2 linked regions of the Diceros bicornis minor genome follow. The protein of the gene in region 1 interacts with the protein of each later gene in a biochemical or structural test. Links are inferred from orthologs where the notes say so. Each region holds a gene or a part of one and is shown on either strand. Other genes may lie near its edges.

What was found.
Region 2: the proteins of LRP2 (region 1) and DAB1 form a complex in vitro, tested with the Homo sapiens proteins (2 studies listed by BioGRID). The link is inferred for Diceros bicornis minor from reciprocal best matches to the Homo sapiens genes LRP2 and DAB1.

Annotation. Positions count from the first base shown.
Region 1 is NC_080749.1:51,012,218-51,019,564, forward strand, and holds the start of LRP2 (low-density lipoprotein receptor-related protein 2), read right to left. Parts: upstream 3,034-7,347; 5' UTR 2,872-3,033; coding exon 2,793-2,871; intron 1-2,792. UniProt on the Homo sapiens protein: Multiligand endocytic receptor. Acts together with CUBN to mediate endocytosis of high-density lipoproteins. Mediates receptor-mediated uptake of polybasic drugs such as aprotinin, aminoglycosides and polymyxin B.
Region 2 is NC_080752.1:19,192,245-19,200,152, reverse strand, and holds the start of DAB1 (disabled homolog 1), read left to right. Parts: upstream 1-4,515; 5' UTR 4,516-4,608; intron 4,609-5,711; 5' UTR 5,712-5,847; coding exon 5,848-5,914; intron 5,915-7,908. UniProt on the Homo sapiens protein: Signaling adapter of the reelin-mediated signaling pathway, which regulates the migration and differentiation of postmitotic neurons during brain development.

The sequences.
Region 1 (7,347 bases):
AAGTGACTTCCTCAAGGTCACACAGCTAGAAAATGGTAAAGCCAATGCTGGAACCCAGACAGGTTGACACCAGAGTTCAGTCTCTCAAATTTTTTCTTAAAAAGCAGTATACAAAATATGAGGAAAATGCAAATAATTTGTAGCTACAGATAGGCTATAATTTTTTTAAAAGACTAACCATAAAACACTCAGAACTCTTTTCCAAATTCTAATGATGCAAAGTTTGCAGTAAGATCTTACCTAAAATGTGGTGCTAAAATAAGGGCATTTCCATTGTAATCATACTTACTTCATCAGATAAGTAGAATCAATACAACAAGAATCTAGAAATCTCCTTAACCTTCCAGGCTAAGGACATTCAGAGGACACATATGTAAAAATGATCAAGAAGGAAGACCGGCAGTGAGAATACTTGGATTTGGGTCATAGAAACTTGAAGAGTTTCTGAAAAAATATCCACAGTAATGGAGCAGCAGGTGGATTGGACTTTATGTGGCAAAGACTTGCAAAATGCCCCTCAGCTTCTTTAGTAACCTCACGCATGGTTAGTAACTTAGGGAGCATGACATTTTTAGTACAAAAGAAGAGAGACAGAGAAACAGAGAGAGAGCTACACACTACAGCAGTTAAATTATAGCCTCTGGAGTCAGAATCTCTTGGATTTGCCTCACAACTCTGCCATTTTCTAGCAGTATGACCTTGGGCAAGTTACTTAATTGCTCTGTGCCTCCATTTCTCATCTGTAAAACAGGGAGAAGGAGTACTTACTACAAAAGGGCATTATGAAGATTAGAGGAGTCAGTAAGTGTAAAGTACTTAGAACAGGGCCTGCCACATGTATAAGTGTATGATATGTTACTATACATATTATTATTATATATTATTATTATTATAGAATGGAAGATGGATAGATGTAAACTACCAGGAAGAGCAAGTACAGGTTATTTGGTGACTAAACCATCAATCCAGGGGAGAGAACATCTGTTTTGGTTGTACGGGGACAACCCAGATGTATCCCAGATGAATCCGGACAAGATTTCCTTTTGCCAGGCACAGACAGGAACATATAGTAAATCCTATGGCTATATTTAGGACGCGAGATATATATAACCCTAAGCACTGGGGCAAACCCTCCACAATAATAATAAATCCTCTTTCTGTGTTACCAACACTGAGAAAAGGTGTTCAAAGGAAGAATTATTAACGGTCTCCCCCTGCCTCCCCTCCCTTCCTGCGATTTTTGCAAGACCAGTGGAGTATGTTGGCGTTTCCAAACTTCTTCCCAGGAAGTCTGAAATGGGTACTACTAGGAGTTGCTGTATGATTACTTAGTTGATTCCCTCTAAGGAGCTTATGCTAAGAATTGAGGAAAGAAGGCAGATTAACCATTTGAATACACGCCACGGCCCATCCACAAGCCCGCCTCTCTCTCCGCCATAAGTGGGGGCTTCCACAGTCCCCACCCGTCAACCCCAATATGTGATCCAGGGAAATCAATTTATTGCTTTGGCTAATCCTACAACAATAGGGGTTTCATTTTCATTGTAGGGCAATTAAGTTGTCCGACGAGAAGGAAGGAGCGGGAGAGGAAGAGGGGGAGGAGGGACTCTTCCATCCGCATAGACAGATTAGTCCCCGCGGAGGCAGCAGCGTCCGCTCTGTCTGTCTGGTGGTCGGTCACACGCAGCTCCCGGCTGCTACCTAGCAACGCAAAGCCAGGGAGAGAGCTCGCCGCTTCCCCGGCCTCCTCTCGCTCTTCCCATTCATCCCCGGTTTCTCTCGCGCGCGCTCTCGCTCTCCCTCGCCCTCCCTCTCGCTCTCCACCCCCCCCCGCCCCCACGCGCTGCTGTACTCTGTCTTCAAGCTCTGTCGCTCTCTCCTCCTCCTCTCCCTTTTCCTCTCTACGTGCTCGTCGTCTTCTCTCTTAGGGGACTCGTACTGTTTTTATTCTCTCCACTCCTTCCTCCCTCTCTTTCTCTACCTCTGTTTCTGTAAAAAGGTAAACTCTCCGACAACTTGAGAGAAGTTTAAAGCGCTTTATAACAGAAACTTTCTTCATTCGAGCCCTCAAAACTCTGGCCGCGCAGACGGGCCCCATTCATCAACACAAAAGCCCCCACCTCCCAGATGGAAAGGAAAACCCTTCAAGAAAATGCTCCAGTGCCTCAGCCGCTCTCTCAGCCAATCCCACCTCCCGGCCTTATCTTGCCTCGTAAATGATCTGTATCGAGACGCGGTCTCTTGGGGGTCACCGCGGGACCAAGTTTCCCTGGTGAAGAAGGAGGGGGGCGGGGGGCGGCTCTAGCCCGCAGCAGTCCAGGGCGCGCGACGGGATCTCCCCGGCGGGGCGCTGCAGGTGGAAAACTGCGCACCGAGCAGCGCCGAGGACCGCTCAGCCCCGGAGAGAATAAATCAGTGGGGGTAGCTGGCTGCGCACTCACTGGGGAAAGAACCTCATTCTCCGGGTCCCAACTGCAAAGCGCTTTCCAGAAGGTCGGGACAAACTCCCGTGGGAACAAAGATGGGGTCCCGGTGGTGTGAGCTGTCGCTGAAACCGGAGGAGCTCCTTTCTCAAGTTTGCGGCTGCTCAGTTCCCGAGCGGACGAAGGAGGGGCGCTCCCACTCGCCCCTCGCTGGGCAACCTGAGCGCCCCAGGGGGGGCCGCTCCGGCTTTGCCGCCCTGCCCTGGCCCCTGCCGGGCCGCGGTCCCCATCGCCCGCCTGCGGACTCGACCCTGCCACGGCAGGGGAAGTCAGGCGCTCCGCGCGGAGCTTGAGCCGGCGGGCGCTTACCTTGACCACTGGCCGGCGCCATGCAAGCGGCGAAAGCCAGCAGCAGCGTGCACGCCACCGCCGCCGCCCCGCGCTCCATCCCCGCGACAGTCCCGGGCCCCGGCCTCGCCGTTCCTTCCCTGGGAGGTGGGCGCGCGTCGCACACAGCACCCGCACCACTTCCGCTCGCGAGCGCTCCTTTCGGTCCGCGCCTCGCCGGGCTCCTAGTGGCGGAGAGCCGGCCCCGGCGCCCGAGGCATCCCGTTTTCTACCCGCGCCAGTCCCCACCCTCCAGACAGTGTATAAAGCCCTTTAGACCCGACCGCCCCGGAACTAGCATGCGGGAATCCAGCGGGGCAGGCCCCCTGCCGCCCGGCCCGCCCTCTGCACTTTGCAGCGAGGGAGGAGTGGGGACTCGAACACACCGCGCTCACACATGCACATTCCACGCGCGCACACCCACACACGTACTCATACAGCCTCACACACAGTCGCACACACTCCTCAGTGTCACACAAACTGACACGCAGTCTCACACGCTCATTCACGCGCGTGCACAGTCCTCAGTCACACACACGCGTGCGCGCACTCCAGTCACACGCACAGACACTGACACACATGCACGCACACTTCACAGTTACACACCCTCATTCATACGGGCACACACACTTCTCACAGTCACTCACATGCAAACACTCGCACGCGGTCCTGCGCTGCCCTAGCCCCTCTGCAGGATTATCCTCCGCATATAAGTCGGCTAGGCGGTCCACGGAGAAATCAGACTTAGAAAAGGAAGAAAAGGAAGACAGGGGAAGGGGAGAAGTAAAGAGCCTGCTGGAGAGAGTTGTGACCATTCTCTAGTCTGAAATCCGCAGTCTCCCTCCAACACTCTGGTTTCCCCCCATAGAGTTGAGGCGCTGAGATGGGGTGCTCTGTGTTTTTTGCAAGTTATGGAGGGGGTTGCATCAATGTCGGGGAGGGGATTGGACCCTTGTTTACTTTTCTTAAGTACCACATCTACAGGTGTCACGGCCAGATTGCGCTTCTACAAGTCTGTTCATTCTGAAGCAAACTTGAATGCGCTTCTACAAGTCTGTTCATTCTGAAGCAAACTTGAATGAACGTCTTGATCTTGCTGGTGCCCCTCTATGTGAGGGAGAAACGAACGTAAGGGGTTCAGAGAACCCCGCAGCTCCCTTCCTTGGGGCAGTGTTGGGACAGGCTGGCGGGGAGCTGGCCCCCAAGAGCACTACAAGTGAACTTTACATTCACCCTCAGAGATTCGTCCTCAGCAGGTACGTGACACCAGAGCCAACAGAAAAAAAAAAGCAGGGTTGGTGCATCCTGTTGCCTGGCCCTGGGAGAGGATGTTTCCGGGCCCGGGGTCGCCCCAGAATCTCCCTCCCCGGTCCCTGGACTAACTCGGCAGCGGGGTCCCAGGTGCCAGGTCCTGGTCCCAGGAGTTGGGAGCCGTTTCCCTCAGTCAGAGGGGCCGTGACCGTGGAGGCGGCAGCCCTGTATCCACGAAGTCCCCGGGCAGGGTCCCTCCGCCTCGCCCTCCCCAGGGCGAGAACCTGCCGGTAAATGCCACCCCTTTTCTGCAGAGCACGGATCGTCTGGGGCTCTGCCTACCCCCAACAGTCGGGATCGCGTAGCTTCGGTGGGCTTTAGCGGTTGGTGAAGCTTTGGGGGGGGTAGATATTGCTTTTAAAAAACAAAAAGAGAGAGACGGAGAAATAGACACAGAAAGTGAAAACTAAGACTTAACAGAGCAGGGCTGTGAGGAAGTGTGGGAGATATTTCGTGGCTTTCTTTTCGAGATTTCTAGATTTGGAAATCCAGAGTTCTCTGATCTGACCAAAGTCACTGAAACGCTATTTGCCTCTCTGCACAGTGTTTGGCGCTGTGCGGCGCGGAGGAGGAGGCAGGATTGGGGACCCGAGGCGCACGGTGGTGGGAAGTGAGAGGGACGAGCCGGGTGGGAGGAGGGAAGCGGCGAGGGGGCGAGAAGCTGCACTTCAGTCTCCCCGGGTGATTTATGCCGGTTCCGGGCGGCCGGGGTGATGGTACGAGACCGCGCCGGGGTCAGGCCGCTCCGACGCCGGCTGGAGCCGCGCTGCATAGTCAATGAGCGTCTCCGCACCACGCAGTTACAAAGAGCGGCGGCGGGCGCTGGCGAGGCGCGCCCCTGGGCCCGCCGGCGGGCAGGGGGACCGCATGCGCGGGAGGGGCTGCGCGCCTCCCAGTGCGCGCGTGGGCGCGTGGGGATGCGGGAGGGTGAGCGCGGGCGGGAGTGTGTGTGTGTGTGTGTGTGTGTGTGTGTGTGTGTGTGTGTGTCCGTCCTTTCACTGTAGCAGCCGGGGCTCCAAACATTCCTTTCTGCACTGAAGGGTTTTCCTCATTGTTGTTGTCTTTGTGCTCCAGTGTTGCCAACTTACTGGAATTCCTGACGTGGTTGCACAGCAGGGCTCAGGCTGACCGTATGAGCCAGCTGCGTTTGTGTATGGGGCCGACCCTGCCGTTAATCCCAGAATAACGCCGGAGAAGGCCGAAAGAATGGAGGGAGAACGGGAGGGAGGGGAGCAGATAAAGGGTGGGGATGGGGGATGAGGGACCACTAACGGAGCACAGTCCATCATTCCCAACACTATGCATATAAACTTACGCATCCACACTCTTTTCCACTAGAAAACCCCTTTTTCTCAATGCAACCCGAAACTCGTGCCGCTTGAAAACAGGCATCTTTTGCAGCCTGCACCATGCTCGTGTTTATCTGCCGTATCTATACCTGAGAATTCTCGTTGCTAGATTTGGAGGATTAAATCTAAGGACCAGCATCTGGGAAAGCCCAGGTTAATGGAGTTGTGATTTAAGGCAGCATTGTTTTTATATTATGCAAAAGTGTAATTTCTTTATTTTCCACATCTCTCTACACATATGCACATAAGACTTTACAGAGCAGTTAACCGAAAGAGACAGGAAAGTGCTGAAAAGTGAAATTTATTCTAGTAAATTTATGTTAATTGACTTCCTTGATATATTTTTGACTTGTCTATATTATTTTACTTATGCATCTCAACGCCAAATTACTGGAAATATTTTCAGAGCATTTGTTCCTATCCTGAGCCAACTTCTGCTTCCTGCAGTGGGCATGAAGTTGTAAAATCTCCTTGAGTAAAATCCAACTTCAGTTTGCTATTAATCCAGCCCAGATTTGCCTCCTGAGTGCCCTGGAGCCACCTGTTCACTGGACAGCTCTAATCCAATGTCCCTAAAACCACAAACTCAACATGACAGAGCCTGAACCATAAACCTTCAGAGTTCCTTATCTCAGTAAGGGGCACCATCATCTGCCCCAGAGGCCAAGGCGGTAATTGTCATTCTTGACTCCTCTCTCTTTTCCCCACACCCATTCTGTTAACTCAAGTTCCTCAATTTCACTCACTTTTCTCTCAAACCCACCCACTTCTTTCAACCTCATTCCCAGAAGCCACCAACCTCTCTCGTCTGAATTATCACAAGAGCCTTGTAATGGGCTCCTTGCTGTCAGTTTTACCCCTTCCCATCTATCCACCTATTTTCCTTTCTGCAAGCAGATGATCCAAAGTGATATTTCCATCAGACTAGTGCTATCAAACAAAGGTCATTACCCATTAGAGGGTTATGAAATCAATTTATCAAATTATTTTCAAATGAAATAGAATAGAATAGAAACTAAAATAACTTTCATATGGAAAAGATATGACTTGTTTCACAAAGCTCTTGTTTCAGATATATGATTTTATTTATTTATTTATTTTTTCCCCCAAAGCCCCAGTAGGTAGTTGTATGTCATAGCTGCACATCCTTCTAGTTGCTGTGTGTGGGACACGGCTGAGGGAGGAGAAGCGGTGCGTTGGTGCGCGCCCAGGATCCGAACCCGGGCCGCCAGTGGCAGAGCGCCCGCACTTAACCTCTAAGCCACGGGGCCGGCCCTCTTGTTTCAGATATAGATAGATGGATAGATATGCTGTCTCACCATGTAAAATATATTTCTTATTATGCATCTCAGTCACAAAAGTTTGAGATCTCTCCCCACAAATTACTTATTAATTGAAAAGAGAAAATAGTAACTATAAGTGGAGAACCTGGCAGATGTTTGAATAGGATTTATTATTATTTAGGTATGTAAGGTCAACAGATCAGGAGACAACTATCAGTGAAAAGATAGTTTATTATACTCACAGATCCCAAAAGAAAGAATACAGGTCACGCCTTTGGGGGCCCACAGGGCACCACCAGACTCTTCACTAGGAGACAGAAAGGGGGGCGGGTTGTGGGCAAGCACCTTCTCTGTGATTTCTGAGGGAACACACAGGCAGGCAGGGTAAACAGATTTAGGATTGGCTAGTCTGTGTTTGAAAAGCACTCCCTGGGGAGAACTCCTGAGGAGGGAGGCCAGAGGTCAAGGCAAGGTGACTCAGGCACATTATCAGGTTGTCCAGAACAAGGTGTGTCCAGCATATGCATGCAGGGCAGATGTTAAAGCATCAAGATTACAGAAGCTAGAAATATGGAAAAAACAACAGATACCAGG
Region 2 (7,908 bases), on another chromosome or scaffold:
GTTTATTATTTATTACCATCCTTAAATAAATGAGTGTTTAACTTGTTCCAGATTAGGCCAGTGAGAGCTCCTCCATGATGGCGTCTGTGTCCTGGTGACATGTCCCCATCATTTGTGTTTGTTTTCGGCACTTCCTTCCTTTCTAGGATAACAAGATATTTTGGGCTCGCCTTGCACCTGCCCTGCCCCAGCTCTGGAATCACCCATTCTCAAGAACCCCTGGTTTCTTTTACTGGGGAATGGTAGTAGAAACCCAAACCCAGGTATTGGGTATCACGTTGTTACTGGGGTTCAGTGGACAGAGGGGGGAAATATATGCATATAAACACATATATACACACATATCTGTATATGTGTGCACCTATACGTTCATATACAGATGGATGTATATTTTATAAATCAGGAATTTACCCTGAAATCTCCAGTTTCCAGTCTGTCCCCACAGCGTTCTTTCCTGCCATCCCCCTTTCTGTATTTAAATGTCTCTTCTTCCATAACGAGAAACTTGCCTCCCAAGAACATCCAAGCTTTTACTCCTTTGCTTGGTCCTATAACACATCTAAAATAGGGGCATAATGGCTCTTCCTAGACATGTGACCATGGACAAACCTACTGGAAAGAGTCTGGGGCTTGTTTGCAGCTCCCCCTGTCCCAACCCTGCCTAGGACTTGAGTGTAAAGAGTCAAATTCTGTGATCATGAGTTATTTGTATTACTTCTTTCTCTCCCACCTCTTCAGCGACTGTGTTTATGATGTTCATTTGAAATACAATTGGAGCAGTTTGTTCCAGTCCACTTCTAGTTTTATCCTCACCCCTACTTCCCATCCTCATTAATTTAATTTAATTTTTTCAGATATGTAGAACATTCATGTATTCCAAATGTAGAAATTATGCAAAAAGCTATACAGTACTCTGAGAAGTGTCCCCCGCTGCCATATCCTTCTATGCAGTCACCCAGTCTCCCCACCACCTAGCATGTCCCCATGCAGATCAACAGCTTCACTGTGGTCTGGTTGGTTTGTCCTGTGTTTCTTTTTGCAAAGATAAGCAGATTTATGTCTCTCCCTTTCCTTCATCTTCCAAATCTTACATGCTTGATGGTGGTCTTCCCATTTTACTGACGAGGAAACTGAGGCTCCTCATCTGTACTGTTGCAAACCTTTGTGCCTGTTGATAAACGGCCTGTTTTCGGTGCTTTATAGTTCGGATGGAGCTGAGTAAGATGCCCTGAATCACGGAACATGCAGGCAGTGGCATGCAGCTTTTATGCATGCAGTTGTGCCACACCTCCCCCTGCAAAGTCCTGGGTCTGGGCAGACTGCCTCTTCTTCTGGTTTTTAAGGCTGGATTGACATTTTAGACTGGAGTTTGCAGTGTTCTTAGCATATCACACAGGCTTAATCAGGGTGTGGGACCTGGCTGGGAGGGTTTTGTACTTTTTTAAATTCAGGTGATATTTACATAAAATTAACCATTTTAATGTGTACAATTCAGTGGTATTTACTACATTCATGATGATGTGCAACCATAACTCTATCAGGCTCCAAAACATTTTTGTCTCCCTCAAAGGAGACCTATAACCACTAAGTGGTCACTGCCCACTTCTCTGCTTCCCCCAGCACCTGGCAACCACTGATCTGCTTTCTGTCTCTGTGGATTTACCTATTTTTGAAATTTTGTGTAAATGAAATCATACCATATATGACCTTTTGTGTCTAACTTCTTTCACTTGGCATGATGTTACAGCTTGGTACATTGCGGCATGTATCAATACTCCATTCCTTTTTATGGCTGAATAATATTCCGTTGTGTGGACACACCACATTTTGTTTATCCATTCACCAGCTGATGGACATCTGGGAGGGTTTTGAGTGAAACTGGGGAGAAGAGTGGCTTGTACTCTGCCCTTGCTGTGTGACTTCCTAGCCATGTGACCATGGACAAGCTACTAGACTGGTTTGTGCCTCAGTTTCCTTATTTGTTAAATGAGAGTGATAATAATATCTAACTTTTCAAGTGATTGAAGGATTGAATATGATAAAATATGAAAAGTTCATAGCACACAATGGCAAATAGTGGGCCCCTATAAACATTAGCTGTTCTACTATAGGATTGTATGAGGAGAAGGGTGGGTGGGGAGGAGAGGGGTGGGTGAAGAGGAGAGAGAACACAAATTTGTGTTATAGTAGGTGTTTTAGTATGTGTTTGTTCTGTTGTAGCTGCTCAAACCTTTGTGCTTTGTTAAAAAAAAAAAATGCCAATCTGTGTTCTCTGCTTTGTGGTTTTCGTGTCCCCCCCACCACTGAACACCGGCTTTTACGTTTAGAAGCAGTTCACTAGACAGAATGTCTGTAGTGGAATGTTACATAATTCACATTTAGATTTGAAGAGCTCATTATAAAAAACCTGACACACTTCAGGAATATTAAATTACTGCAGATTGTGTGGAGCAAAGAAACATTATTGAAGCATTTCAAAATTCTAGGCGAGCCTGAATTTAACTGATAGGGTTTCACAGCTTTTACCGGGGAAAAATGATTTGAGCTGTCACATGGTTTCTGGCCCTGGAGGACTTTAATCTCCTTAATTACAAAGAAACGAATTTCCTAAATAATTTGGAGTTACTTCACAGCATTTGCTCAACCTCTGGCTTTTGGAAAATTAAAGGGACTGCCAGAGTCCGGGCCATGGTACTCTCTCTGCATACCGCAGCTTCCCTGTTTAAGTTTTTATTTGAAATGATGCTGGTTTTGTTTCATTATTGCTATAGGGATGTACTTCAGAAATTCACCAGTAATGCTTGTGGCACTTGAACACAATCACATTTTGTCGAACAAGTGACGCTGGAGATACCCACAAGATAGAGAGAGGTGCTGTGTTGTGGCTTACAAAGTTGAAGAGGAGAAAATGGCCCAAATCCAATATGCTGACTTTTAAGAGTGCTTGAAATTGTGTAAAATCTGTATATTTCAGCTCATTTCAGTATTTATGGATTAGGTACCTACTGTGTGCAAGACCAGCATGATGGAAATATCTTAGATTCTACCATTTCCTCACTTCATCCTTAGAAAGCAGACTTAACCTGCCTTAATTTCCTCCTCTGTAAAAGGAGGATAATAATATAGACTTGTGGCTACATACCAGCCATGTGACCTTGAGCAATTAACATAGGAAACTATTAGTGCCTGATATTTATGAAGTGCTTGCCCGGAGATGTGCCAGGCACTCTTCTAAGCTTGTTACACCTTTGATCACCTTCATTTCCACAGCAGCTCCGTGAAGTTGCTACTGCTATCCCCATTATACAGACAGAGAAACTGAGGTAAAGATAGGTTGAGTAATGTCCTCAATGTCACATTGCTTGTAAGTGGCTCAAACTATACAGTTGGCCAAAAATCAGATCATAACTTAAGTAGGGAGAGATTCCATTTAACAGAGGGATCAGAAAATCTTTCTGCCTAAGATACTTTGAACTAAACTTTGAGGGGTTGGTAGAATGTCAAGGCAAGTTGTAAAGAAAGATTGCATAGAAAGGTAACAGCACAAGGAAAAATTGAGAAGATGGGAAGTATATCACCTCCCTACTAGACTTATGCTTCCTTTTATTAGTTTGGTTGTTAATTTCAAGCCTCCTTGCACATGCTGGTCTTTCTGCTTGAAACAACCATTCATTCATTATACATACATTTATTGAGTACCCATTGCTCCTTTCCCTTATCATCCACCTGGCAGAAGCATCATTCTTCGAGATGCCGCAGTGTAGGGCTACTTCTCTGTGAAGCTTTATGGACTTCCAAGCAAAGCTGAGCACTTGTGCCTTTGTGCCCCAGTATGCCTGGTATTTGCCTGTTTTTGTTCTGGTCATGTGTATTGCAGTCCCTTACATGACTGACACCTCTGCTAGACTGAGTTTTAAGATCAGGAATCAGGCTTTGGCCCTGTGCTCTTGCCCAGCATGGTCGTGCCGTAAATGTCTGTTGACATGAATGAGCCAGCGACTGCACCTGGCCCATAGTAGGTTCTTAGTAAATATTTGTTGCAGTGAAATGATAAGTATTATTAGTAAAATTAATAAATTAATAAAATTAATTATGTCCATATATGACTGAGTTTTGTGACTCTGTCGTCTCATGGAGTGTTGTCTTTTGCAGGGGAGAGGTTAGGAAGCGGATGAGTGCTAGTGCATAGTGCAGATAGATGGCACAAAAGTGGCAGGAAAAGTTCTCATTTTCTACACATGATTTCACAGACCCCATTCTAGGAAGGTAATTTTCCGTTTTCCTTAGTTGTAGCCTTAGATCCTCTAGTTCAGGCACCTCTCATTCAGGGCCAGTGTCCTTTTTAAAAAACAGTTCCTTTGTTACAAACAAACCAGATGTCTTGGGATAAGGTGGGAATTTCCTTATATTTAAGCCTTATTTATGTGGCTTTTGTATAGAGCTTTTAGTTAAGCCATCATTTTTTTTTTTTTTTTGGTGAGGAAGATCAGCCCTGAGCTAACGTCTGTTGCCAGTCCTCCTCTTTGTGCTGAGGAAGATTGGCCCTGGGCTAACATCTGTGCCCATCTTCCTCTACTTTATATGTGGGACGCCGCCACAGCATGATAGGTAAGCCATCTTTAATTGTCATGATTAAGAGGTTTGGGTCATTCTTCTTTTTGCACTGAAAGTGGGATTGAAGGTCGGCTTTTGCAGATGAAACAGTTCTAGATCTGCAGAATGAGCTAAGAATTGGCTGCATGGTTTGAAGATCCATTTCCAGTAGCTTTATCTTAGTATTCTTTAAAAACAGGTAACTAGTGAAATGTTTATTTTCGACTGCACTCTCAGATATGACTATCAGATAAATAGTCATTGGGAAAGACTGTTGACTTGACACAGAGAATACATTCACTCAATTTAAATGAAATCGAATGAGATAATGTATGTGAAGCAGTAGCTGAGGGCATAGTGTATAGTAAGTGCATAGTAAATACTGGCTGTAATTGAAGTGGTTGTATTATCATTATTATCTCTTCCCAGCACAGTGTCTGAACTTAATAGTACCTAGAAGTGTGCAGTGCATAGTTATTAAACAAAGAATGAATGAAATGTGTCTGCCTGCTTCTTTTCTTTTTCTCCTCACATTACATGCTTGTCTGCTCTTATAGCTGGGGGAAAAGCTGACATAAAAATTGGCTTGCTGGAAAGTTTCTCAGCCCCATTTGTCACTTTACCCTTGGAGCCCAATTGTATGTCAACTCCATGTCCCCTCTGATGCCTGCCAGTGAGGGACAGACCACAGGTCACTTCCCTATGATCTGCTTTAGCTGCCAAGGCTCTGATCAAGCTTGGCTGATGGATGGGTGCCTGCTGTTGGAAATGTCTCCACAGGGCTAGTCAGGAAATACGCCTTTGCTCTATTTTCTGGGTGGCATCTAGTGATTGAAAATACGAAACATGGAAAAGAAAGAGTTGGGTTTTGCCCTTCTTGAAAGTCCAGAGTTTTAAGGATCTGTTCTGAGTTACCTAGTTTGAGAAAGAGTTTGCATAGACTCTCATTCCTGTGCTAGGTGAGCCCTGTCAATGACTTGGTGAAGTCATGCGAGCAGTTTGCACATGGAGACCAAGATTTTGCTGTTTTTATGTGTTTGCCAGTTCATTTCTTTCCCTTAATTTCTGTTTAACTTCGAAAGGGTGATTATTCTGAATGTTCTCTTTCCCCTTTGCAGCACTCGAAAGGAGTGAATGAAATGTGCGGCTTGGGGTGTCATTTCTGAAGGGAGGAGTCGTTCTCTTGGAGAGGAGTCCTCAATGAGCCTGGCCGAGGCCCGGGATCTGTGTGAAGTGGACTAAGGATTTAGTAGGATGTCAACTGAGACAGAACTTCAAGTAGCTGTGAAAACCAGCGCCAAGAAAGACTCCAGAAAGAAAGGTAGGGCCGAATTGGTTCCTTTCCTAGTGACTACTTATCTGTACAGGAATGGAGTTTTTTTAAATCTCTGGAATGGTACATAGTACTGTCTTTGTGATTGCATATCTTTTTTAATAGTCACCAGCATTATTTGGTGTTTTTTGTACTCATAGTATAATATTTGAATGGCTCTCCATTCTCTGTGTAAAATCCAAAAATCTTTTCAAAATATACAAAGCCCTTCTTGAGATGCTTTCTGCCCATCCCTCCAGCAACCTCTCTGCCTGAGCCACCCAGTCCCCCCAGCCAGCCCTGTTTACCCTCCAGGCATTCTGTCTGTTGCAGTTCGCCTTTGCTATCCCAGTGGTTCTCAGCCTCCAGCAGCACCAGAATCACCTGGAGGGCTTGTTAAAACAACATTGCTGAGTCTCTTCCCCAGAGTTTTGCATTCGCCACGTCTGGGTTGGGGCCCAGACTCTGTGTTTATAACAAGTTCCCAGATGACGCTGATGCTGTTGGTTCAGAGACCAGACTTTGAGAACCACTGGACCGTCAAGCCAGCCGGAAGTCTTTTGTCGCTCTCCACTCTTTGATACCGACTCTTACTTATTGTTCAGGTTTGACCTTAGTGGGACCCCCTGGGAGGCCTTTCCTTACTCCCCAAGTTGGGTGAATTGCTTTTGTTTTGTTTCGCTTTAGTAGCACTTTGTTAGTATCTCACTTTATTAAAAATGCCCTGTGTTTTTGTTTGTTGGCTGTAGTATACACTCCTTCAGAGCTGGACCTCTTGTTCATCCTTTAACTCCCAACACTTAGAAAGTGCCTGGAGAGGAGGCACACAGATATCTGGTAATGAAGACTCGCATGCATAGTGTGATAATAAAACGACTATATCACTTTGCATGTTTTCTAGAGGATGTGGTCTTATGGCTTTATGACCAAACCTTTCAGTAAGTTTGTTCCCTTGTAATTAGATGTAAGCAACTTCTTACTTTGTGTGTGTGTGTGTTTTCTCCCTGTGGTTTCAGCTCTTTCCCTCCCCTGTCTTCTTAGCTGCATGGAAGAGGATTAAAAGAGCTCTCTTTCAGGTCTTAAAATCTGTCAATATGGGCCTGCAAACTGAGATGCCCTTGGTTGCCTTGTCTGGGCAGTTATTTGTTAGAGACATCGCTGTGCCTGCCCAGTCATGCTTTGTGATGGCATTTGTCTGACACTCTATAGGAAGCAAGGGATGTAAATGTAATTACATATGCAGCTCTTGGACAGCCAAAACCCCAGGAAGGACTGTAAATTTTGCTTTAGATGTTTATTTGAAACACAAATATTTTAGAAGCAGTTTATTTTATTCTCTAAAACTTAATGTAAACCTTGTTTTTTTATGCATCATGGTCTAAGAATAATAAAAGGAAAGCAAGTGGGTGAGAGAACAGGTCTTAGGAGAACTGCTACATGGGAAAAAAAAAAAAAAAAGATAGCAGAGCCCGGTATGTGCTAGAATTCAAATGCTTTTTCAGTGGAAACTGACAAGTTATATTTTTGCTTCAAATTTAACCTTTGCACTAAACTTGTGCTCTTGAATGCTTAATGCATTAAAAATTGTATCTTAGTGCATATCTTTTCATTCTTAATTTTAACATGCAAAACCAGAAGCATTCTAAAGAGAGAATTCAAGTTTTCAGAACATTGGCTTTGCTGAAGATTTGGAATGGGAGCCTGAAGGTGACCTTTTTGGACCCTCCTCATCTTTATGTCCTGAGAAGCTCTAAAATCAGCACAGTACACACGCAAGGAGTATCCTCTAATGAGTGGCTAATACCATGGAGTTTGGGCAGGCAAACCTGCGTTCAAATTCTGGCTATACCACTTCCTAACTATGTGACCTTAGCACATCACTTAACCTCTCTGAGCCTGTTTCCTTTCCTATAAAATGAGGATATAATATTATAAACCTCAAATGTGTACTATGAAGATTAATTGAAATAAGGCAAATAAAACACATAGTGTAGGGGTTGGCC